Linked DNA regions of Oreochromis niloticus. The protein of the gene in region 1 interacts with the protein of each later gene in a pairwise test. Links are inferred from orthologs where the notes say so. Each region holds a gene or a part of one and is shown in the gene's direction. Other genes may lie near its edges.

What was found.
Region 2: the proteins of phyh (region 1) and pex7 interact in a two-hybrid assay, tested with the Homo sapiens proteins (2 studies listed by BioGRID, with this or other methods). The link is inferred for Oreochromis niloticus from reciprocal best matches to the Homo sapiens genes PHYH and PEX7.

Annotation. Positions count from the first base shown.
Region 1 is NC_031981.2:35,510,561-35,522,180, reverse strand, and holds the start of phyh (phytanoyl-CoA dioxygenase, peroxisomal), read left to right. Parts: upstream 1-6,067; 5' UTR 6,068-6,162; coding exon 6,163-6,228; intron 6,229-6,917; coding exon 6,918-6,973; intron 6,974-7,198; coding exon 7,199-7,309; intron 7,310-8,826; coding exon 8,827-8,995; intron 8,996-9,307; coding exon 9,308-9,389; intron 9,390-9,830; coding exon 9,831-10,012; intron 10,013-10,102; coding exon 10,103-10,252; intron 10,253-10,439; coding exon 10,440-10,574; intron 10,575-11,620. UniProt on the Homo sapiens protein: Catalyzes the 2-hydroxylation of not only racemic phytanoyl-CoA and the isomers of 3-methylhexadecanoyl-CoA, but also a variety of other mono-branched 3-methylacyl-CoA esters (with a chain length of at least seven carbon atoms) and straight-chain acyl-CoA esters (with a chain length longer than four carbon atoms).
Region 2 is NC_031980.2:24,481,277-24,492,668, forward strand, and holds the start of pex7 (peroxisomal biogenesis factor 7), read left to right. Parts: upstream 1-6,825; 5' UTR 6,826-6,959; intron 6,960-7,461; 5' UTR 7,462-7,483; coding exon 7,484-7,595; intron 7,596-7,966; coding exon 7,967-8,024; intron 8,025-8,808; coding exon 8,809-8,959; intron 8,960-9,034; coding exon 9,035-9,112; intron 9,113-9,188; coding exon 9,189-9,297; intron 9,298-11,392. Other genes in the region: uncharacterized protein LOC102082537, read left to right, coding at 2,068-2,197, 3,294-3,569, 3,727-4,400. UniProt on the Homo sapiens protein: Receptor required for the peroxisomal import of proteins containing a C-terminal PTS2-type peroxisomal targeting signal. Specifically binds to cargo proteins containing a PTS2 peroxisomal targeting signal in the cytosol.

The DNA of each region.
Region 1 (11,620 bases):
TTGAACCATTTTCTGGCTTCTAGCTTTACACTGTTATTACTTTATGACTGTGGTTCAGGAGGTAGAGCAGGTCATCGAATGATCAGAAGTCAGATGGTTGAATCCCAGGCTCCTCTATTCTGCATGCCAAAGTATCCGTTGATAAAATACTGAACCCCAAGTTGTCCCTGATTGCACCCATCGTAGTCTGTGTATGTGAATATGAGATAATGCCTAAAGGCATAGAAAAAAAGCAGTGTGTGTGTGAATGGTTGAATGAGGCTCATAGAAGATAGTGTTTTGAGTGCTCAACTAGAGTAACAAAGTGCTATATAAGTACCAGTCCATTTACAGCTTAAATTCTTAAACACAAGTCAGTCAAAATTGACCTTTTCTATGAGTCTTTTCAGTAAATAAAGTGCTATCTCAGCCCTGGACTAGGCAACACAAGCCACTAAAGTCTATCTCACACTCCTGTATTTGGCCAGCTTAATTTTCTTTTTCGTTTTATTGAGTAAGAGTAAGTTAAGGTTTAAGCTAAAGCTTAATCTAGGCCCTTTAGAGAAACTTAGCCATTGACAATTCACTGAGGAAAAACAAAACATGTTAGCACAATTATCTAAAAATTACCATGAAAACATGTTTCCTTCACTTTATAGACTGAAAAAAACGTGATTGAAAAAAAAAAATTTCATCCATCCTGTTCAGAAAGAAAATAAAACACTCACCTCTTGAGGGAAAGTGACATAATAAGTGCACGCCTGTTTATTTTAAATGTGTGACCTCTGTGTGTGTGTGTGTGTGTGTGTGTGTGTGGCAGGGGTTAATCCCGGCATGCTGTGGTTCTAACAATGCTTAAACTCCAGATTATGAGTCAATTTCACCCAACTCAACCCTGAATACACAAACAATTGCACTGAAAAGTGTCATTAAATGACTTCCATGGGGGAAAACTGGACAGGGCACCATAATGCTACAGAATACAGAAATAATAGAAGACTAAATTTGTTTATGTGAAAAGACAATGTATGAAAATTGTTATTTGCACAGAAGAGAATAAAGAGAAGTAACACATCTGCTCAATCCCTTTAACACCAACACAAATACATCCTACAAAACCTCCAACACCCAAATACATTCATACAAGATGACAGCGCACACACCCACACACAGCAGTAGGGCTGACAGAAATGCTTGATGATATGACCTAAATTTTTTACTTTTTGAAGCTTTTGAAGCTTGAAAAGAAGCTGTGTGTGTGTGAGTGTGTGTGTGAGTGTGTGTGAGAGAGTGTGAGAGAGAGAGAGAGAGAGAGAGAGGAAAAGAGACAGTCAACTCCCAATTCACATTCCTTGCATGGCTCACATAACTATCTGTGTGTGTTCATGTGGCTACGAGTGTGTGTGTGTGTGTGTGTGTGTGTGTGTGTGTGTGTGTGTGTGTGTGTGTGTGTGTGTGTAGTTGCGCTGCACCCAGTCCACATTAACTGTATTCACTTGAAAGCCCTACGATTTTCTCAGTCCCCCAAAGAACCCAGAAATGACCACTTCACCTACATCAAGCCCACCCTGTAGCAGCACAGCAACAGTCTCCCTTTCATTCCCCCTGGCTGTTAGCTAGTCCACCTCTGAGTTTTTGTCAAATTCGGCACAACAATAAGCTACGCAGTGCTGGAAGTGTAGGAGAAGAAAAGCTTATTTGGTAAATAAATTTAGCGCACACACAGAACAAGGATGAAAAGGCACACGCAAACACCAGAGTTGAAAAATCATGAATTAAACAGAAACAGTGTGCACGCACACACAAACACCAAACATATTTCAAAGATGAAGGGAGAAAGATTCTAAAAAGCAAAGAGTCAAGAAAGAGGTGTGGAAACAGAAACACACACACACACACACACACACACACACACACACACACACACACACACACACACACACACACACACACAAAAAAACACCTATCTGATTGGAAAATATGGCACAAGTTGGAGTTATATAAACAAGAGGCAGAAGGAGGGAGAGAGAAAGCTATTCGACTGGTTGTCAATAGCAACAATGTTTTGGAAGTGCAGTCTGCCTGGCTGCAAAGCATATTGGGATATTGCCACCATTATTGTCAGCCACCATTCGCTAATTCACTTCTTCGTACACAACATTTAGGTGTTTTGTGAAAAACTAAAGAGTAAAAAGAAAAAAAGAATTTTCTGATGATTTTCTTGCCATTATCATCTACATCACTGCAGCAGCTAAGTTAAAATCTGATGGAATATAACATATTTTCCCAAATACTTTGTGGCAGTTACAGTGGATCTAGTGATCTTTTCCTTATTTCCTGTTATGTTTATATTCTAACAGCAGTTCCTACTCAGATTACAGATTTCAGAAATCTAAAATATTAAGGTCAGTGTATGTATAATTTATCCCTTTATGGCTACAGACTGTTCTCCCTGCTATGTTTCAGACATTCAGATTTTTAACTCTATGTTAATGGTCAGCAGGTCCCTAATATAGTTACCTCTAGCCGTAAGGACAGAAGCCCCACTCACCTACTGTTCAAACCTTCTGTTTAAATGTGGCAGCCAATCAGGAAAAAAAAAAAAAAATAAAAAAAAAATCAGGCTTAAAGCAATGGAGAATTAAAAAAAAAAAAAAAAAAAAATCTTGTTTCAGACAGGATGAACCCTAAGTGCAGCATCAAGGCACAGTATAAGAAAAGTAAGGACAGTCCTGACGTGTAAATCACTCAAAGCTACCCTGGTAGAATAAAAAAATATAGAGCTCCATAGCACAAGCCACCTTAAGGCAGTGATGCAGGCAAAAACTAACTGCTTCAAGTTAAAATTGCATTTTGCAGTGTACAGACAGTTGTACAGCTGTTCACCAGGCACACAGCTGTTTACCCCATAGTAAGGTAATGTTTTCAATCACACGAAAACTGTCCTTTCAGTTTTTTGTCTAAGCCTAAGACTAGATATCCCCCGATGATCTCATTAGGATTTTTTTCTGAGTTATGGGAAACCACCTGCAAAGTCACATTGTGTGATTTTAATATGACACAGAAAAATTAAAATCACAGCCCAGTGTCACTCTGAATAGCAAAAAAAGGTTTTTAAAAATCTTTTGTTCTGAGAATCTTATACTTGCTTTCACACCAAAATTAGTACTCTGATCCAATTCATCACTTACTCGCTCTGACAGGAAGTTCCAAACTAATCGCTGACACCTGCTGTGAGTCCATCACAAGACACTTTGATTTCTCAGACCGAAACCACTGACACATCCCACATTCTTCTAGAAGACAGGTCATAACGTACATCCTCATGTGTCAGTCCCAGGAGCAAAAGTAATTAACATAGAGTGTGTGTGCGCATGCACACACATACACACCTCCCACAATCGTGGCACAATGCAGAGACTGATCAATACAAGCACTGCTATACGGGCCTACAGGCATGGAGTGGGAGCTGTCGGGGTAATTATGTCGTTCTCTCGGGGTGTATCGTTCCCACAGCCAGCAGCCCAGATCTGAATGTGGGTCAAAACGCCCACATGCAGATTCGCAAATACACATAATTGAACGGCTAGTTGTTCCAGATGAAGGACGCTGGAATTAAATGCAGGTTAAACAGGAAATAGAAAAGAGCGTAAAAGCATCGAAGGCACTTCCCAGCAAAGATGGGTGAGAAGCGTTCAATACTGCAGAGCTATTTCCCTTTCAACAATGCAAACTTTCTTTCTAATTTCATAATCAGAAATTTTAAGCTCTCATGTAGGCAGAGCTCTAATATTGTTAAATGGTGATAATAACTGAAATGACATGCTGGATTTCTAGTTGTGTAATTGTTTGTTTTTTGTGCTTTTATATTCAATTTGGGGGCGGGGCGAAACTCTAGGGCAATAGTATACCTAACATCAGGTCACTGTTTTCAGGGTAACAGCAGGACAGTGTGTTCCTGGTGCATTGGAATCAAATACCCTTGAGCTTGTGTCTGCTTAAACACAATCAGTCCCTAATACTTATTTTCAAGGGCATGCTTGTTATCTTCCACTTTCAGCAACGTGTCTCAACCGTATTCAAATAACTTGACAGGAACAACCACAGTTTTGTTCAAAGTCAGGAGTTATTTGGAGGTTATTTTAAGGGATTTAACTCAGTTTCATAATGTTCGTATTCCAACTTTGCTCCACAGTGCTTTCACATCAGCAAAAAAGTGGCACAAACTGAAGTAAAGGCGCTGACTGTAGCAGAGAAGCCATTTCTTTCACACTTATATGAAGTCAAAGGCTAGTTAATGGTAAAATGCATGTCTGCTCCTTTAAGGGGAAGTCTCATTGTATGGTGCATTGTGAGCTTTGGGGTGATATGAATATGTTGTGAACAGGTCTTGCATCATACCTGCAATGATCCATACTGTTTTCATTGGGATTTAGGGCGATTTCGAGGATGACATCTGTGCATTATTTCAGCCTTTAATCTACAGTACGCTTCCTATCGCTGGTGGCAGCCTGGCTGCCGATGTCTGAGCTACGTTATGTAAACAAACATAACGTGAAATAAGAGATTTTACGCTTGGACAGTGTTTGAGGCTACAAAAACAACACGTATGACCGTGCTGGATAAAGGCGCTGGGTAAACAGTAAAATATGAATTACAGTAAGAGTCTGGCTGTATTATTCTCCAGCTGCCGTTTCCTCTGTTTTGCCATTTCCACTCGCCACCATTCAGACTTCGTCTTCAGCCGCCGGGCGAAGCCTAGCCTCCCGGTTGTTCATTAAGAGTTACCTGAAAGTGACCCATCAACGATTTTACCTGAAAATGTTGAATTCCGTCGTTTTCAAGCCGACCCTCCGGATCTGCCAGGCCCGGATGCCCTCCTCCGCTTTACCCGCCCACTGAAGTAGCCTGAAACACAGCTCCGTCTGTGCTTGTTTGTGCTCCACACGCTCCGCCAGAGAAAAAAATATCCTCCGAAACAAGCAGAGAGGTGTGCGAGTGTGCGGGCGAACGGACACAGACCGAAACCCGAAAAAGTCGTCTGTTCGGCAGCGGAGGCAGTTTAAAGAGGCTGGAGGAGGATGTCGAGTGCGGAGACGGGAGGGGTGCGAGCATGTAAGATAGATTACGATAACGGCACTTCCGCTGACGTTTCAAAACAAAGGTCTGTTCTATTGCAATTTTCAAAATAAAAGCCACTGTGACGGTTATCTGGTCAGTGTACAAACTAAAAGTTGTTTTTTTGAATAGACAACTTCCACATCATAGACTAGAAAAACGTAAAGAAAAACGTCTAGATAGACGCATACACCAAAGACTATACATAAATACATACTGCATTTTATACATACTATTTTGTATGCCTTTTTGTTTGTTAGCTTGTAGGTAAAACTAGAAGTTAAGTTTGAATGACATCAGAGTATAGTTTGTCAAAGCTGGGAAATGCATAAAAAAAAGAAACAGTTGGAGGCTTTGTTAGCATACCGTTCCTTTTCGTTTGTTAATCATCACTACAACAATGCAACACTGTCCATTTCAGTCTTGAAATGAGTAGATCAATTATTGAATCGATTCAAATTCTATTACAAAATAGCATGTGTTTGTTGAAGATGCCAAAAATGATGAAATGATGAAACGCTCAAGTTTTCAACAGCTTTAAAATTAGAGCATAAATTATAAAGATGATGGGAATAATTATTGTTGTGTGGTGCTCCCTGCTGGATAAAACTTTAATTACTAGTGATGCTGGAAATCCTTATGTAATCCCGTTGTTTGCAATAAATAACGTTCACTAACAGTTGAAAAGGTTTGCTAAAACAAGAAAAATGCTTGAACTCTACAATAGAGTTTTCATTTTTCTTTTTTTTTTCTGCTATTTTTAAAGGATCAGTTCATCTAATCACAGGAGGGGAACTATCATTTCCCTTACAAGTCACTGAAGTATTTTTGATTTTATCAAACTTGTCACGGTGTTGTGATAATAACTGGGCAGTGTTTTAACGGATCCATAAATGACTGTATTCCTGTAGGTGTTTTGCATAACAGCACATTCACAGACTGTGCGTGAGTGCGTGTCATCACGTTAGCCTTTGCCCTAGTCAGCAGAGGTACGTAAAATACAACAACCCAGTTCTCCACTACTTGAGTTTACGGAGGACACGAAGCACTTGTACTTGACAGAAAATGTCTCGTCCTGCGGAGAGACTCCGAGTCATTATCAACCATCTTGACAGACCTTCTGCAGGGATTGTATCTTTTTTATTCATCTTTGCGATAAATCGGGCGCGAGGCTCTTAGCCTATAGCAAAGCAGTGAGCGCCCGATCACACTGATACTCTGCTACCGGGATCCAGTGGTGGACTGCAGGCCTCCCGGAGAATACTGACATAAGGACAGGACAGGACTTGAATGCCTATAACTATTCTTGCACTATTAACACCGCTAGTTATTTTTGAGCTGATGTGTTCACCGTTGTTTCTGTAGAAGTATGTTTGTTTGGATTGCATGTCATTAGCAATAAAAGTTGTAAATGCTAGCTAGCTGGAGGCATTTATAACTGTTTCTTAGGGCTCGGAAACTACTCTTATTGGATTATTTTCTATATCAACCTTTTAAATAACAAGTGAACAAGTGTATCTGTTAGGTCTATCTGTAGATAGGTCAACTTAAAGATAAGCTATTTACTAATTTATATATGTGATTTGTTTTAAAAAAGTGTTGTCGGTTTCCCTGGTTTTAATATGCAGCACCAATGCAGATTTTCACATAAAAGACATTTTCACATATTTTGGCAGAAAGGCAGAATGTTACACTGTAAAATCTTGGAAATGATCTAAAATCTATAAATAATAATCTAAAATCTATAAATGATAATCGATTATAGCAGACATTTTTCCCCTTGTTTTGCTTTTTTTAAATCCTTGACTGATTTGCTGAAGAGAGCTGCACACACGTCTGCTCAAACCGTCAGCTACGGTCACCCACAGAGACTGAGGTAAGGACACACCTAAACTCCGCCTCGGGCTAAAGGTTTTTATGCACTCAGCAATCATTCGTGTTTATCGTTCACCTTTCCCACAGTTTCTTCTTTTGATCAGGTCCACAGTGTCCTACTTTTCTGCTCTCCATGTGTAATAGCAAGTGGTAATGACAGTGCTATTGGCTCAAAAGGCAAGGCAAGCTTTTTTATTTTATTTTTTTTTATTTTTCAATTTGGCAGGTATACTTTGGATAATGACCTGCTGACCCCGGAACAGCGGCTCTTCTATGAGGAAAATGGCTTCCTTCTCATCAGAAATCTGGTGTCCAAGCAGGACATCGACAGGTTCAGGTAACATCAGACACTTGGCAATAAATAATAAATTAAATAAGTACTTTAAAAAAAAAAAAAAAAAAAGCACAAACACATAAAATAAATATTTTACTTGAATAGGTTACAGTTCAAAATATTCATTTTTTATTTTATGCCAGCCTTTGGCGGATCCCCAATCATTTTAATCAGTTTTAGCTTTCATCCCCTTTGAGCTAGCTTTCTTCTGATTGGCTCGCAGCAGCTCAGGCAGTGAGCACAGAACGAAGACAGGGATATCTGATCTTTCATAGCCAAAAGCAGGAAATTTACAGCAGTCCAAAGTCTGATCGTTTTATCTCTTGGAGATTATTCATACATGCACTGTACTCAGTATGTGAAAGTTTGGCGATAGGAAAATCTACACAATCTACCTTTTTAATCAGAGTGTAGAATCAAGTCAGTTAAACTTATGGGATATTGATCTGGTCAGTTAATTAACAGAGGGGTTGTTATTCCATTTCAGCTGTTTTGGTGTTAATGAAATTAACAACAGGTGTACTAGAGGAGCAACAGTGAGACAACCCCCAAAACAGGCACGGTTTTACAGGTGGAGGACACTGATTTTTTTCCTGCTCATCTGACTGTTTTTATTACAGTAGTAGCATGAGGGGAGACCCTACAGATCTTGCATAGGTAGTTTAACTCCTCCAAGATGGAACATCAATACGTGCCATTGCCTGACGTTTTGCAGTCCAGTACAGTCTCAAGAGCATGGTAGAGATTTCAACAGACAGACAATTACTCTAAAAGAGCTGGACAGGGCTGTAGAAGGTCCTTAACCCATCAGCAGAACCAGTATCTGCTCATTGTCTGCAAGGAAGAACAGGGTGAGCACTGCCAGAGCCACAAAATGACCTCCAGCAGGATACTGGTGTGAATGTCTCTGACTAAAGCATCAGAAATGTGACTTTATGAAGGTGGCCCAATGTCCTCTAGTGGACCCTGCACTCACTGCTCGTCATCGTGGAGATTGATTGGCATTTGTCATAAAATACCAGAATTGCCAGGTCCACCACTGGCACCCTGTGTTTTTCACAGAGAGCAGGTTCACTCTGAGCACATGTGACAGACGTGAAAGGCTCTGGCGAAGCCATGAAGAACATTAGGCTGCCTGTAACATTGTTTAGCATGAGTGGTTTGGTGGTGGGTCAGTAATAGTCTTGGGAGGCAAATCCATGAAGGGACACAGACCTACAGGCTTGGCAACAGCATCCTTGAAATCCTTGGACTCAGTCTCAGACCCTACGTTGGTGCAGCAAGTCCTGGGTTTGTCCTGGTGAATGACAGTGCACAGCTTCATGTGGTGAGAATGTGCAGTCAGTTCCTGGAGGATGTAGTAGTTGATTTCATTGACTGACCCCCATACTCACCTTACCTAAACCCAGTAGAGCACCTGTGGGACATTATGTTTCCGTCCTGACTGTTTGGTGTGTGTGTGTGTGTGTGTGTGTGTGTGTGTGTGTGTGTGTGTGTGTGTGTTTTGGTGCCTCCTTCAGGAGGGAGTTTGAACGGATCTGTCGACAGGAAATAAAGGTTCCTGGTCTGGTGGTGATGAGGGACGTGGCTATAGCAAAGTCCGAGTTTGTCCCAGATCAGAGAGCTGTCTCAAAGCTGCAGGACTTTCAGGAGGATCCTGAGCTGTTCCGGTACTGCTCTTTACCAGAGGTACTGGAACGCCACATACAAACAAAGACAACACACACAGCAGTAGGGTTTTTCGGATGGTTCTTTTTTCTGTGTTAATTGCCAAATTGATTCTGATAAAAAGGATTTGGTGCCTCATAGAGGTGCTATCAGTAATCACACAGGTGATAACGCAGAAAACATTACATGGACTTAAATCATTAATCTGGAATGTCCAAATGTTTTTCACAAACAAAAAAATGAATGGGCACCGAATTTGTTTCTTTAGATAAACAATGAAATAAGTCGAGCCTGAAGACTATCAGAACAAAACTTTTTGCTTTTCTTTATCAGATCCTGAAGTACGTGGAGTGTTTCATTGGACCGAACATCATGGCAATGCACACGATGCTGATCAACAAACCTCCTGATGCAGGTATTTCAATTCTCACTAAAATGTTTGGCCGACAATGTCACAAATACTTAATACTTATTTGGATGCTGAGTACTTCTTGGGTTTACTCTTAAATTAAGTATTTGTAGGGTACCGGACTCTTTTTAAGACAAGTGTTGTGCAGATAAATAATAATCAATGTATTAACTGGAGGTGTCCCTTAGTTTTGGCTCCCTCTTGTGGGATTGATCATAATTACATCAACACTTTTGATGTGTGCTTGATTGCTATTAGCGTTTCTTTTTAGACTGTGTTAGTAATCTTCCCTCTGAATGACCAGTTCTTTATTTATCTGAAGCATCAAATACATTTCTTAAGCTCAAACATAACATAGAGTATCTTTAAGGTGTGAATTGTGAGAAGACATTAAAAATAAAAACTAGTTTGGTATCGTAATGTCTAACATGTCTTCTGTCGTTCCAGGTAAGAAGACGTCTCGTCACCCGATGCATCAGGATCTGCATTACTTCCCCTTTCGACCAGTCGATCGGATCGTCTGTGCATGGACGGCTATGGAGACGGTGAACAGGCAGAATGGCTGCCTGGTCGTCCTGCCAGGATCACACAAAGGCACGCTGCAGGAACATGACTATCCTGAGTGGGAGGTACACACAACACTGTAAAAGTTACAGTCATGCCTGCTAGGATGTACACACACACACGCAGAGTGTTTAAATAATTGCACGTGTCCTCAGGGTGGGGTGAACAAGATGTACCATGGAGTCCGAGACTATGACCCGGAGCACCCCAGGGTGCACCTAGAAATGGAAAAGGGTGACACAGTCTTCTTCCACCCACTGCTCATCCACGGCTCTGGCATGAACCAGACACAGGGCTTCCGCAAGGTACTGCATTACCCAGAGTCCACCTGGGATCCTGATATTTTCTAATGCAAACTAGCTCCACACAACCACATGATTATTTGTAGTATTTCTTTTTGCATATGAATAATGAGGTGTGATATCTGTGTGTGTGTGTGTGTGTGTGTGTGTGTGTGTGTGTGTGTGTGTGTGTGTGTGTGTGTGTTCACAGGCAATCTCTTGCCACTATGCCAGCGGTGATTGCTATTACATTGACGTGAAAGGAACCACACAGGAAAACATAGAGAAAGAGGTGAAAGAGATCGTAGCGAGGAAGTACGCTGTTGGTGATGAAGTCACTTTCAAGGTCAGACACGTACATCCAAGCTTCATTTATCTTATTTTAACATTATTGCTTTTTGATTAAAGGGAGCCTATTGTGCTTTTCCTAATATTTCTAATCACATAAATATGTTTACAATTGATTTATCACTAGCTACAAGCACTGATAGCTCACAATTGACATGCCTTCATTCCCATGTGAAGGACTTTGTAACAGCTTTTTGTCTTAAAAAGTGCTATATAAATAAATTTTACTTACTTACTTACTTACAAACCCAGAAAGTGTACACGTTAAAGGTCTGGGCAATGAAAGAGGGAGTGATAACAAAGTTAAACCATAACAAGGAACTGGAAACAAAGTCAGACACAGGCTGTCAATTTAATGTGTTGCCCAGGGTAGGAAGCAAGTGCTGTGGTCATGTAGTCCATGCAAGGCTCCTTCAAAACAAAGTCTTTGGAAATCAATGTTTCACATTTGTAATCAGCCTTTTTGTAGTCTGCCACATATCATCAGTGTTTGTACATATGCTTGTAATGATCGCCTGAGCTTTATACAAACGTCTTAACTTTTTTATAAATAGATTAAAATCATTAAGTTAACATTACAGTGGCATCGTTAAGTAACAACATCCCTAGTCTATGTCTCATTATTGTTTACAAGCCCCCGTTATAAGATCCTGTCATGGGCTACATTTACCTCGAGGTCAGCCTCTGCTAGGCAGCAACCATGTGTGTCAGGAAGCCTGCAACCTGGCGTGTCATTATATATATATCTAAAACAGAAACGCAGCAAGATACTCAGTTAATGCATCTTTAGAATGAAGTGTGGTTTGGTGGATGTAATTGCCCTAAACGAGAAAACAACCTGAGAATAAAGACTGGGTAGAAACTTTCCTGCTAAAATTGAATTAAAGTCACATTCTTCCCATTATATGAACAAAGCTCCTGACAGACATTTCAGGAAGTTGGCAACAGAGTCAGACAGAATACAACACACTGGTTTCACTGTATTTAACACAAAGATAAAAAACATCAAACCTGGCTTACATGTAACCACCATCTGCTAAACCT
Region 2 (11,392 bases), on another chromosome or scaffold:
TTTCCTCTTTGTAATGAAACCTTTGAATTGTTGTGTTCATGTGGACAAGAATAAGAACAAAACACAATATTCTTTATTTTAAATGAAACTTTCTACAATGATCCGTCAGACCAAGAGCTGTGAGTCGCCTCTGTCGCAGTGTTAGAATAAGAAAACATTATTCTGCTGGACTGTTTAAGAGGCCAAACATGTTGTATGTTAACTTTGCGTCACATGGAACATGTGATGCTTCGGTAAACTCTGATGTTATGGAATCAGAATGATGTCTGGGTCTTGATGAGTACAGGGCTTCAATTTGGGAGGGATGCTGCCTCCTGGAGGCACATGTCGGTCTAACTGCAGTGATGATGACGCTTTCTGTTGTGGTCAAAGAAACAAAATCATCTAACAGGAAACAGACGGCAGATCTCCTGCTTGGGGTCAAGCTGCAGGAGGACTCAGAGCTCGCTTTTGCGTCCTGCTGCTTCTCGCAGCTCTGCAGCCGACTGTGCGAGCGGGAGACTTGTTTAAACGTACGCCACGACTCACGCAAACAACACACGAACAAAAGCTGTCAGGTTGTCAGTCAAAGCCTTACATGTAACTACAGAGATATATGCCTCTATACAGAGACACACCCTGCCTCTCTGTATCTGCTGCATCTTCAAAGGACTCTTTCATGTTTTATTCACTGACCACCAGCACTCACAATGCAAGTGCAGTCACACAGCTTTATTGTACAAATGACTTTTACTTTCCAGCTCACATGATGCTTCAGGGTTATCTTTGAAAGTGATCGTATTTCTAGTAAAAACAATTCAAGTTTAATATGATTTCTCTTCAGCAGCTCACCAAAGAAACCAAAGGAGGACACGTCAAGCTAGAAAGACTGTGGAAGGCGAAGCCGTGATGTTGACTCCGTGTCCTGTAGCTCGAGGACTGAAGGCTTTGTTTCTCATTATTAACACCAACTTGGTGTTGCAGTGGATCTGTTCCTGATCAGCAGCCAAACATGTGACTCTCCCTTCCTTTAAGTCCAGAAAAATCATGACTGTAAGTTAAAATTATGAAGATACATAGACAGAAGACAGAGACTGTCATGTGATGTATATGATTATGTGATCATGAGATGTATGTGCAGATGAAATATATGTTTTCTTTCTCACACAGAGAACTGCTAAAGATGGCACTTTTGTGTTTTGTGGCAACTGCCTGAAAATCACCTATTAACTAATAATCTCAGGTTATATACCTGATTATCTGTTGCTGTCTACATACACAGATATTCACATTAACCGCTTTCATTCACAGTCCAGCCAGAAACTCATAGACCTGAAACTGAAATTCCCTCACAAACAACACTGATGCTCAGCAGCCTCCTTTGATACAGGACTCAAACTATAATGTGGCCGTTGGCAACCAGTTGAGTGGAGTCCCCTACTTTAGAGAGATAAGTTGCAGATGAGCTGCACTTGTCTGAAGTGCTCCACTGTGTTGGAAATCTGTCTGCGTTTGTAAGTGGTAAGGATTATTTGCAAACCTTTGCCAATCAACCTGCAACTTTGTGGAGACAGGTTGCCTCCCATCCAGCAACGTAACGAGCTGGTCACTGCAACTAATTCCAATCGGTCCCTAAATGAGAAAAAAACTCACCGTGCCGTCACCGAGCTACCAGTTTCTTTTAGGTCGTTGTCCCATTTGTGAGCCAAATGGCTCCTAACGAGGACGCTGTAGGTTTTCTTTTCTTTCAGTGATTTCACATCAGGCGCCATGCTGGCTGTAGACAGGTGTGTGACACACACTCAAGGGCAGGCTGGCCAAAGAAGTATGTCAGTAAACAAACAAACAAAAACTCATTGTTTCTAAAATGTTTGAAGACAAGTTGGGACAACTATCAGTTTAAGAAGAAACTATTTATCCTGTTTAATGTGATTTTCTTTGATGGAGTGAACAAAGGACTGAAATCTGGTCACTTTTTATGCAAATGAGCTGTGACGCACCGGAAACGGAAGTAGTGTTTCCCCCCATTCGTTCTTTTATTTTCTTTCCAGCTCGGCTCCGCTCCGCCAGAGTTTTAAACACAGGAGAATGGAATACAAGCTCATCATGGCGGTCTCTGGCTTCCCGAGTCTCTACGACATGAACTCTCCGACCTATCGGGACCTGAACATGCGGAGCGACGCGTGGCGGCAGGTGGCAGAGATCGTCGGAGTCCCCGGTGAGTTTCAGCACAGCGCCGAGACCCCGGCCCGAACTTCAGCTCTCACACGGGAGCACTTTCGATGTGGGCGAGACGGAAAACTTTCAAAACATGTTAAACATTCAGATTTTCATCAAAGAGAAAAGTTCAAAACAAATACGGTCCGACCTTTATTATGTTCCGACCCTCGTCGCCTCTCGACTCCAGCACAATGGTTCCTCTTCAGAACAATCAGCACAGATTTATGAAAGTTTTACAATACTGTAAGAAAATATACGACAACTTTAATCAGCGGTTTTTACTCATATATTGTATTTACTGGGAATTAACTGGTCTTAGTGGATTTTTTTAGTAATCAGAACTGGGGGAAAAAAGGTGATGACGACCAAATATGTAAGAGTGTGTGTAAAATAAGTATGTAAGGTTTTACTCATGTAGACAGTCTTTGTTAACTGAACCTAAAATTTTTCGAATACAGTAAATTATGGTTCCCTGAAGAAAAGAAAGGAAAATAAAATACAAGAATATAGAATAAAGGAACTGTTTATACGCTTTTGTTATTTATGGGTTTATATGTTTTAACATATAAACTTAATAATAACATGATAGAAATTACTGATTTTTTAAATTTAAATTTAAAAGCCTTTAAAATAAAATTCCATGGAATTTTTATTATTTGCATTTTTTTTAAAAAACAAACAGCCTAATATAATTAATCATAAATGTATGGAAGGTTTGGTTAATTTGGTTAAAAGTCACACAGGAGTTTGGAGCTGTGAGTATTTTCACATGTGAATAATACTGTTTGTTATTTTCAGTATTTTCAGTCAAGTCAGTTGCTTCAAATGTTGAATATTGTCCAAACACAAGTTAGCTGTGAAATATGACCAAGGAAACAAAAATAGTTTGGTTGTTTGAGAGTTTGTTTTAGTTTTTGCAGAATAAACTAAATTAGAGCAAAGATTAGTTTTAGTTTTTGTATGCAGGTGAAAATAAAGCATTTAATGTGACTCTCTGTGTGTGTCTCTGGTTGTGGACACAGCAGGATGGTTTTACTGTTGGATTTTATGGTTTTATGGTTTAATTAAAGCAAACTTGTGGTTTTCCACATTAGAGTCGGAGTGCAGAAGGAAGTGGAAGACGCTGAGAGACCAGCACAGGAGGGAGAGGCAGCGCGAGAAGGAGCGGCGCGAGAGCGGCATCGGGCTCTTTAACTACCGGCCATGGAGGTACTCGTCCATTCTGTCTTTTCTGAATCCATTCATCGACGCCCGGGCAGCCGGCACCAACGGCTGGGCCCTGGACCCACAGCCCTCTCAGGTCCAGGTGGCCGAAATGGTCGGCTGCAGCACGACCACGGAGACACGGAGTGACGACGACGAGAGCTACGGTTCGTACCGACGCTTCCTTCTGATTGGCCAGCCTGCAGTAGTTCCTCATCAGCTTTTCAATGTGCAGTCCGAGCACCCGGATCTCTGACGGCCTCTGATTAATATTTTCTCGTGATTCGACATCGATTTAGTTCTGATTGTTTTGTCTGTTTTCAGGGTTCGCCGTAGCTGACGCGACCACGACGACCTCCTCGTCCTCATCCTCAGAGTTCCCGCAGAGGAAGCGGCCGCCCTCTGTTGGCTTGGACCCTTCCAGGCCCAAAGAAGCAAAGGTTGAGGTGAACTCGGGTGCCGCAGCCACTGACGATGGCGTGCAGACGCAGCAGCACGCCAACATGAAGGAGCTGTTTGAGATGATGATGCACTCGGTGACATCTCTTGCTGCGACCTTAGCTTCATCACACTCTTCCTCGCAGACCCCTCTTTTGCAGCAGGATCCGCAGAGTCATCATCGCAGCCTTCCGCCATCCTGGACGGCGGCGCGGCTGAACCAGCTGAAGACAGAAGAGCCGGAAGGTGACGTGGACGAGCTGCTCGTCCAAACGGACGATGAGGAGGAGGTGGAGGAAGAGCGCCGCCCCGCCTCTCCCAGGCCGCTCCGGCCAAAGAGGAAGAGCGTCGACGGCCTGCTGGAGGAATTCCTGAGGAAAACAGAAGCCAGGGATGCGCAGAGGGAGCGTGACATGGAGCAGAGGGACGACGTGACGCTGTTCCTGCTGAGCCTGGCTCCGGCTATGAGGAGGCTGACAGCAGAGAAACAGTCGTGGGTCAGAACCAAGATGCAGCAGTTTCTGCATGAGGCCGAGTTTGGTGCCACAAAGTTCCAGTGAGCCCACAAACGTTTTGATGGAAGCTCATTCGAAGGGGAAGCACTGAATCTTCCCTGCAGACTCCACAGGTGCTGACTCTTCTTACAGCTGCTTCAGGTAGCTCCAGATTTGATGGTCTGTCCCTGACCGATGACTCCAGATCCCGGGTTTCTGTTTTCATCGATGACTAAATGGATGTCTGCACAAAGCAGGACTTCGGGCACATCAGGGTCACTGCAGGGTTAACGCCACGCTTCAGTGTTGATGTCTGATTACTTAATGCGGACTTAAACTTCTGCACAGAGGACTCTGTGCACCTGCACATCCGTGTTCAGCTAGCAGGAGACTTTCTAAAGTTTAGATTTAGAAAGCAGTTTTTCATGACCAACTTTATTCCTGCAAGATGGCCGTCTGCAGATTTAAAACAGCTTCGTCGGCTTGTAACTCTCAAAGTGGTGATTTGATGCTAAAGTGTCTAAAATTTGAACCTTTGTAGATGAAGCCTACATCTGAATTAAGAATATTTATTCTGTCGTCTTTCTCAGACGGTCAAACAGCGCAACGGAGGACAGTAAGCAGACGCCTCTCTGACAGTCTGCGTTTGTCCACCTGTCAGTTGATCACAGAGCTAAGACGTGATTGTGATCGGGCACCATCACCGTTCATACTCACTAAAGCATTCAGAGCACACACTTTAATACTTCACTACTGTACAGCACACTGTTACACACACACAGACATGAATGGGTGCAGCTTGTATCATGTGTTTAATAAGCTGCAGGCGCCGCCTCCTTCATGTGTCCATGTAGCCTGAATCTTGATGCAAGCAGGTAAAGTGATAAAGATCTGCTCTTAAGATCTTTGTAGCACATTAATTATTGTGTTGTTAAGTTTGTGGTCCTAAAGTGTCACACGCTACGTCAGGGCAGATGGTGCACTCCAGCAGTGCAGACCCACTTTTCCTCCTCTTCTCTGTCCCTGACCTAAAATACTTCTTTACCCGACGTGAACGAGGATCTTTTATGACTTGAATGAAGCGAAGCTCAAACAGAGAGATGTTGGTTCACGTTCCTCTGAGATCATCTCAGACTGTTAAAACCACTCAATGTATTTTATGTACTTTTATTTTGAAAGGCCAGTCACACTGAGACCAAAGTGTGATCTTTGCTTTACTAATGTTAACCTCTCCTCTGAATCAGGAGTTCAGTGATGATCAATGAAATTGTAAATAATATTTGTACCTATTACCAGTAACCAGTTGCAGCTTTCTCCTGGTTTCCATGGTGATGCAGTATTTATGGAGCTGTGGTTGCAATCAAAGTTTCCTCCTGGCTGTGAGAGTGTGAGGCCACAGCGTCTTTGGTTATGTTATCTGAGCTGAACGCTCCATGTGTGATGCAGAAAAGCACATTTTGTATTACAGAAAAGTTTCTGTCTGTAATTCTAAACAATCATAAGAGCGTGATTTTTCCCAGATAGCACTGAACGCTTCAGCGAAGGATTCCTGTCACTCTGGTTAGTGTGCACGACTCAGGCTGCTCTCCCATGTTATTCAGTCCTGAGTTGGAACATTTTTTATGTTTCAGAATCCTGCAGCTGATTTTATTTTTCTGTGTTTGTGCTGTTTTTGTTCTTTGTTTAAAAAAAAAAAAAAAAACTCTTCTTGCAGTCATTTGTGTTTTTATTTCAAAGTGAATCCTGACAGCTGAGTGATGCTTAGAGTGAACTTCATATGCAAACACCTGAGCAGACTGCTGCAAATATTATTCCACCATTCATAAAGTGAGCTTCAGGAGGAGCCGATTAAAACCTGATTACTGACTGAAAAGAGCTCTTAGTGTGCTGCTGTGAGTATTTCACCTTAATGTGAAGTTTTCATGCTCATGCTGTGACCCAGATTCAGCAGGAAATTGCCGCTGTAAGGATGTTTTCTTACATATACAAACTATCATTTTCTGGTCTCTGGAATAACATGTGGATTACTGAACGTACACAGACTCTGAACAAAGTTGGAAGTCAGTTTCCATAAAATTGTTGTTTTAAAAATAAAAATAATCTTTGGTCATTTCTGAGGAAATGAAAACTAATATTTTAACTGCACGAAGCACAAAAGCACTGTGACCACTACTCCTTCCGTGAACGTGCAAATGCTCCATTTCGTTAGAAAATAATGCAAAAATCTAATTTAATAGGAAATTATAATTAATAAAATATGAAGATTTTCCTAGTTATTTATAAATCTTTCCTTAAATTTAAAAATGAAAATAGATTTTTACAAATGTAAATAACATTTCCTGTATAGCTTCATTTACCTGAATGTCGTGTTTTTAAGTAATTTATCTAGAACAATTTCTAATAAGCGCACTTGTTGGTTTTAAGGTAAAGAAATGTCGCCACCAGGTGGCGAACTGTACAACTACAAGTGTAGCACGTTCAGTCCGGAGTCAGCTGATCAAAACACGGAAGTGGAGGAGCAGTGAGTGGAGTGAGAGGAGCAGCAGGAGCAGCGGGAGCTTCTTCTGTGGGTTTCTGAAGCTTTGAAGCTTTTTTCTCTCGATTCCACGAGACGACCTGGTTTCTGTGAGTCACGTGACAGCCATGTTCAATTTAAATGTGATCAGGGTCCGTGAAGTCACTCTGTCACCTGCAGACCACACGAGAGCAGGTGCTGATCGGACACGGTCTGAGTCATAAAACGGGATTTTAGTCCTGCGGACTTCTTACGTGTGAACAGATTAACAAACTCAGCAGAGCTTCGCATCTCTGAACCCCACGGATTATTTGTAAAAACACAACAGGGCGGGTTCACAGCCTTTTACAAGTTTTGTGCACATTAATTGTCACATTTTCTAAAATATTTCGCTTGAGAGTCATAAAAAAAGCTTCAAAATAACAGTACAAGCTGAACTCTTCTTGTAATGATGATGAAGCTGTGGATAGATTTCAAGCTTCTTCTTAGTCATGTAATACTTCATGGTTTGAGTGCCAGTGTTTATTTTGTTATTGTTGTATGTTTTGAGTTGCTTATCAGTAAATAGTCAGTGTCATCTTTCCAGTCACTTTAAACCCTTCTGTCTAACAGGGTTTCCTTGTATGTGACGATAATGACGGTGAAGGTGTTTCGCAGTCCGGCCCGTCACGGCTATGCAGTGGAAGTGTCTCCGTATATCCCCAGCAGAGTGGCCTGTGCTGCTTCACAGTACTACGGGATAGCAGGTCAGTAGAGTTCAAGAGGTCACAGTGTGGAGAACACACCTGTATGAGGTTTCCACATGATAAAGAATGAATTACACAGGGTGAAGGAAAACCCCCTGGTTTCGGCTCACTGCTGGAGCCTCCTGTGGACATTAGAGGAACTCCAGTTTCTGGCTCTTCATCACTTCTAGTTTCCTGACTTTTGATCCATATAAATAATATGAAATAAAATAGTACGTGCTGTTTGTTTCTGGACGTTGACCTTGTGTTGATGGAGGAACCTCAGCAAGCTGAACAGACCCTGATGAAGACGAGCATCACGTGGTTTTTAAAGAGTCAGACAGCTTTCTCATTTCCATTCACTCTGTGTGTGTGTGTGTGTGTGTGTACAGGCTGCGGCACACTGCTGGTCCTGGATCAAACCGAGACTGGGCTCACCTTAGTGAGAAGGTAACATCTGTTTCCTCATCTCTCTCTCTCTAACATCTGTTTTTGTCCTTTATGCTTACAAATGATGGTTATAAGAAGTTGCAGGAGGTTTAGGGCTCGTTTTCATCTAATTTCGGCACAGATCAGATTATTATTGGACTGCGAGGGAAACAGAAACCCCTGCTTTTATGTGACTTTACCTTAATTTTACTAGGAGTTCCATTGAGAGAGCGACATGGCCTAAAAACTCAGAAAATAATAAAAATGCAGATGATATGTACAAATCAGTAGGAGTCACATTCCTCCTCGACTGCATTCTGAGTGATGACGTATGTGTGATTATTCTGTAGATATGAGATCTTTGTGTGAAGTGTGCCATGTCTGAGGTTGTTAACTCCACATCTGGGGAAGATTGAAACACAGAGAGGGGGCAAAACCAAAACCAGCATCGCTGGTCGTCCTGTGAGGCGTCAGTGATGATGGACCCAAAAATCATGGATGTTTGTCTCCCTCTGTTCTATCAGTTAAAGTCGCCGTTTCAGAAGAAAAGGCTTCGGGCTGACGGAGAGGACTCTGTGGCAAAATGAAAAGGAGTGAGAATAGTCTAGCTGTTTTTCAGGAAGTTTATTTTTCTGCTCTTCCTGTTGGAAGCTGCGTAGCTACGAACTGCAGGCGACTGCTTCACACCACCGTTAAAAATCCCTGAAATAAACCTTTAAAGTTGAATAAAAGAAACAAGAAATCAGTCAAGGGTCAAAACTCCAAAGTTTTTTATGTAGTCTCCGTGTGTGTGTGTGTGTCTCAGCTGGGAGTGGGGTGACGGCCTGTTCGACGTGGCATGGAGTGAAGGTAACGAGCACGTATTGGTGGCAGGCGGCGGAGATGGCAGCCTCCAGCTGTGGGATACAGCCAATCACAGCGCTCCACTGAGGGTGGCTAAAGAACACACACAGGAGGTAACGCACACATGCGTGCGTGCACACACAGACATACACGCACACACAGGTGTTCTGACTGTGACGTGTGTGCAGGTGTACGCTGTGGACTGGAGTCAGACTCGAGGAGAAAGCCTGATAGTTTCTGGATCCTGGGATCAAACGGTGAAAGTGGTAAGATGAAAGTCTCTCATTTCTTTCCCTCTCCGTCTGCGTTCTGTCTCCCTAATGTTAGTTTTATCTCCGTCAGTGGGACCCTGCTCTCAGTCCATCGCTGACCACCCTCAGAGGTCATGAAGGGGTCATCTACAGCACCATTTGGTCACCTCACATCCCAGGATGCTTTGCGTCTGCCTCAGGTGAGTCAGCCGGCCTGTTAGAGGGTTTAAAGTGGCTGCTTTCACCACTAGATGGCGTTGTTGTGATGGTTTTTGGAAGCAGGCCTGAAGATGTTTTGAACTTTGCTTCAGGCTGCTCAGATTCAGCTTCACTTTGGATTTAAAGCTACAAAGGAGGAAATGTTTGATGTCATGAAGCTTTTTCTCAGTGTCTGTCTGCGAGCACGAGTGCACCTTGAGCTCTGGAGGTTTTCGTGGTAATCACTCATGTTGTTTGTTGGAGGTTTTCCTCATCGTGTGCAGTGTAGGAAGTGAGGTGAGTCTGCATGATGGCAGTAAATATACTACTGAAGGTTTTAGTCTTAGTAGAAATTCATAGTTAGGAACGTAAATCTGTAATTTAAACACGACATGTGGAAAGCACTGTGCTTTAATAATGTAATATTTAATGTAATATTCTTGATATTTATAATTGAGCGATTTGTATATTATTGCTATTTCTTAAATTTGTAAATTCTGTAACATATTGTATTATTTAATTAGTTTAGTCTGTTACTGTTGCTGTCTTGGAGCAACTGTAACCCACATAATTTCCTTAGGGTTAGTATTCTGATTCTGATGATTCTGATTTAAACCTGTTTGGTGCTGATGCAGACACAGGGGTGTAGTTTGTAGCAGGAGGCGTGTCTCTGTCACTGTGATGTCATCGCTGGGTGCCCCAGTGATTTTTCTCTGTCGTTGTGCTTGATTGTTGAGTGGTGGGATCTTTAAAGCCGTCCTCCTGGCTCTGTCTGCTGTAGTGGTGCGCTCCACAGTGACGTCAGACTGCTGCACGTCTCATTGGGTCGTGCTGGAGACATCGCCATCCTCTGTCAGAGCAAGACTTGACAGATTCTCAGAGACTCTGCAACAGCTTGAAACTTAACTTCCTGCTCTCAGACCTACAGATGTTTGGGGTCAGTGACAGTAGAAGTGCCCCTGAAGTCTATAAAACTGCGGTGCCCCTGAAGTCTATAAAACATGTCCCACACCAGCATAAATCAAAGGCATCATCTTTGAAGGATAGGTCGAAGGTGCTGCGGTGCAGGGCTTAAAGAGTTGGTTCCTGGTTGGGTGGAGACTGTGTGGGCCTTACATGTTTCCTCCAGCAGACGTGCACTTTATGTTAACTGGCTGTGAGTGTGGATGAAGAGTGGTCAGTAAGACCAGAGAAGCATGTAAAAGTCTGAAGTGTGAGTGAGTTTGTAGCCGGAGGGAGCATTTGGATGATCTCCTGGGAGCGTGTTTAAACTTCATACAGGGGCAGCGATGCATCATCCGATCTACAGCAGCTGCCTTCAGGTTGGGCTCGGTTTGGGAGGCGCTGTCTCATGCGTCTTGGCCGATGAGTTTGGGTTAATTGGTTTGTGAGCGAGTGGAGGCCTCTGATGAGATTCTCAAAGCAGGAAGATGTTAACCCCTCGCTGCTCACAGGGTAGTCCAGGTCCAGCCATTTGACCTTAAATGAGTTTTTATTTTTGATTGAGTGTATACAGAACACACAGCTGGGACAAATAACTGTTGAATCCTGGGTTTGTGTGCTATAAAAGTTCTGTTCAGGTTGGGTTCAGTTATTAGGAGTGTGCTGCAGTGGACTCATGCATGCACCAGCAGTCCTCAGATGAGATTTTTAAGGAAGTTCTGGATGTTTTTCATCTGATTTTTGAACAAATTTCTGAGAATTTATTCTTCACGATGGCTGTGCTGAATTAAAACAAGAAAAATATTGTGTTTGTGTTCAGATCTGAGTTCTGACTATGTGTCAGTGATCCCTGTGACAGATGTGTGATTAATGGCTCCTTGAGGTTGGTTTTAACGGACCATACGATGACCGGCGCCACAGATGAATTTGGAGGCTGTAATTCTGGGGTTTGTCGTTGTGGTTGATGCTTCATATTTGTTTTCAATTGATTTGATTTTTGATTTCTCTGCTTTTTTTATTGACCTGTTTCTCAACTCGGTGAACTCATTCAATTTTCTGGTCTGTAAAATATCAGGTTATGGCTTCAAACTGCCCAGGACAGTGTCCCGCAGTCCTTTAATAACAGCTCTGCAGCTAAATGCTTTACTGAGAGCA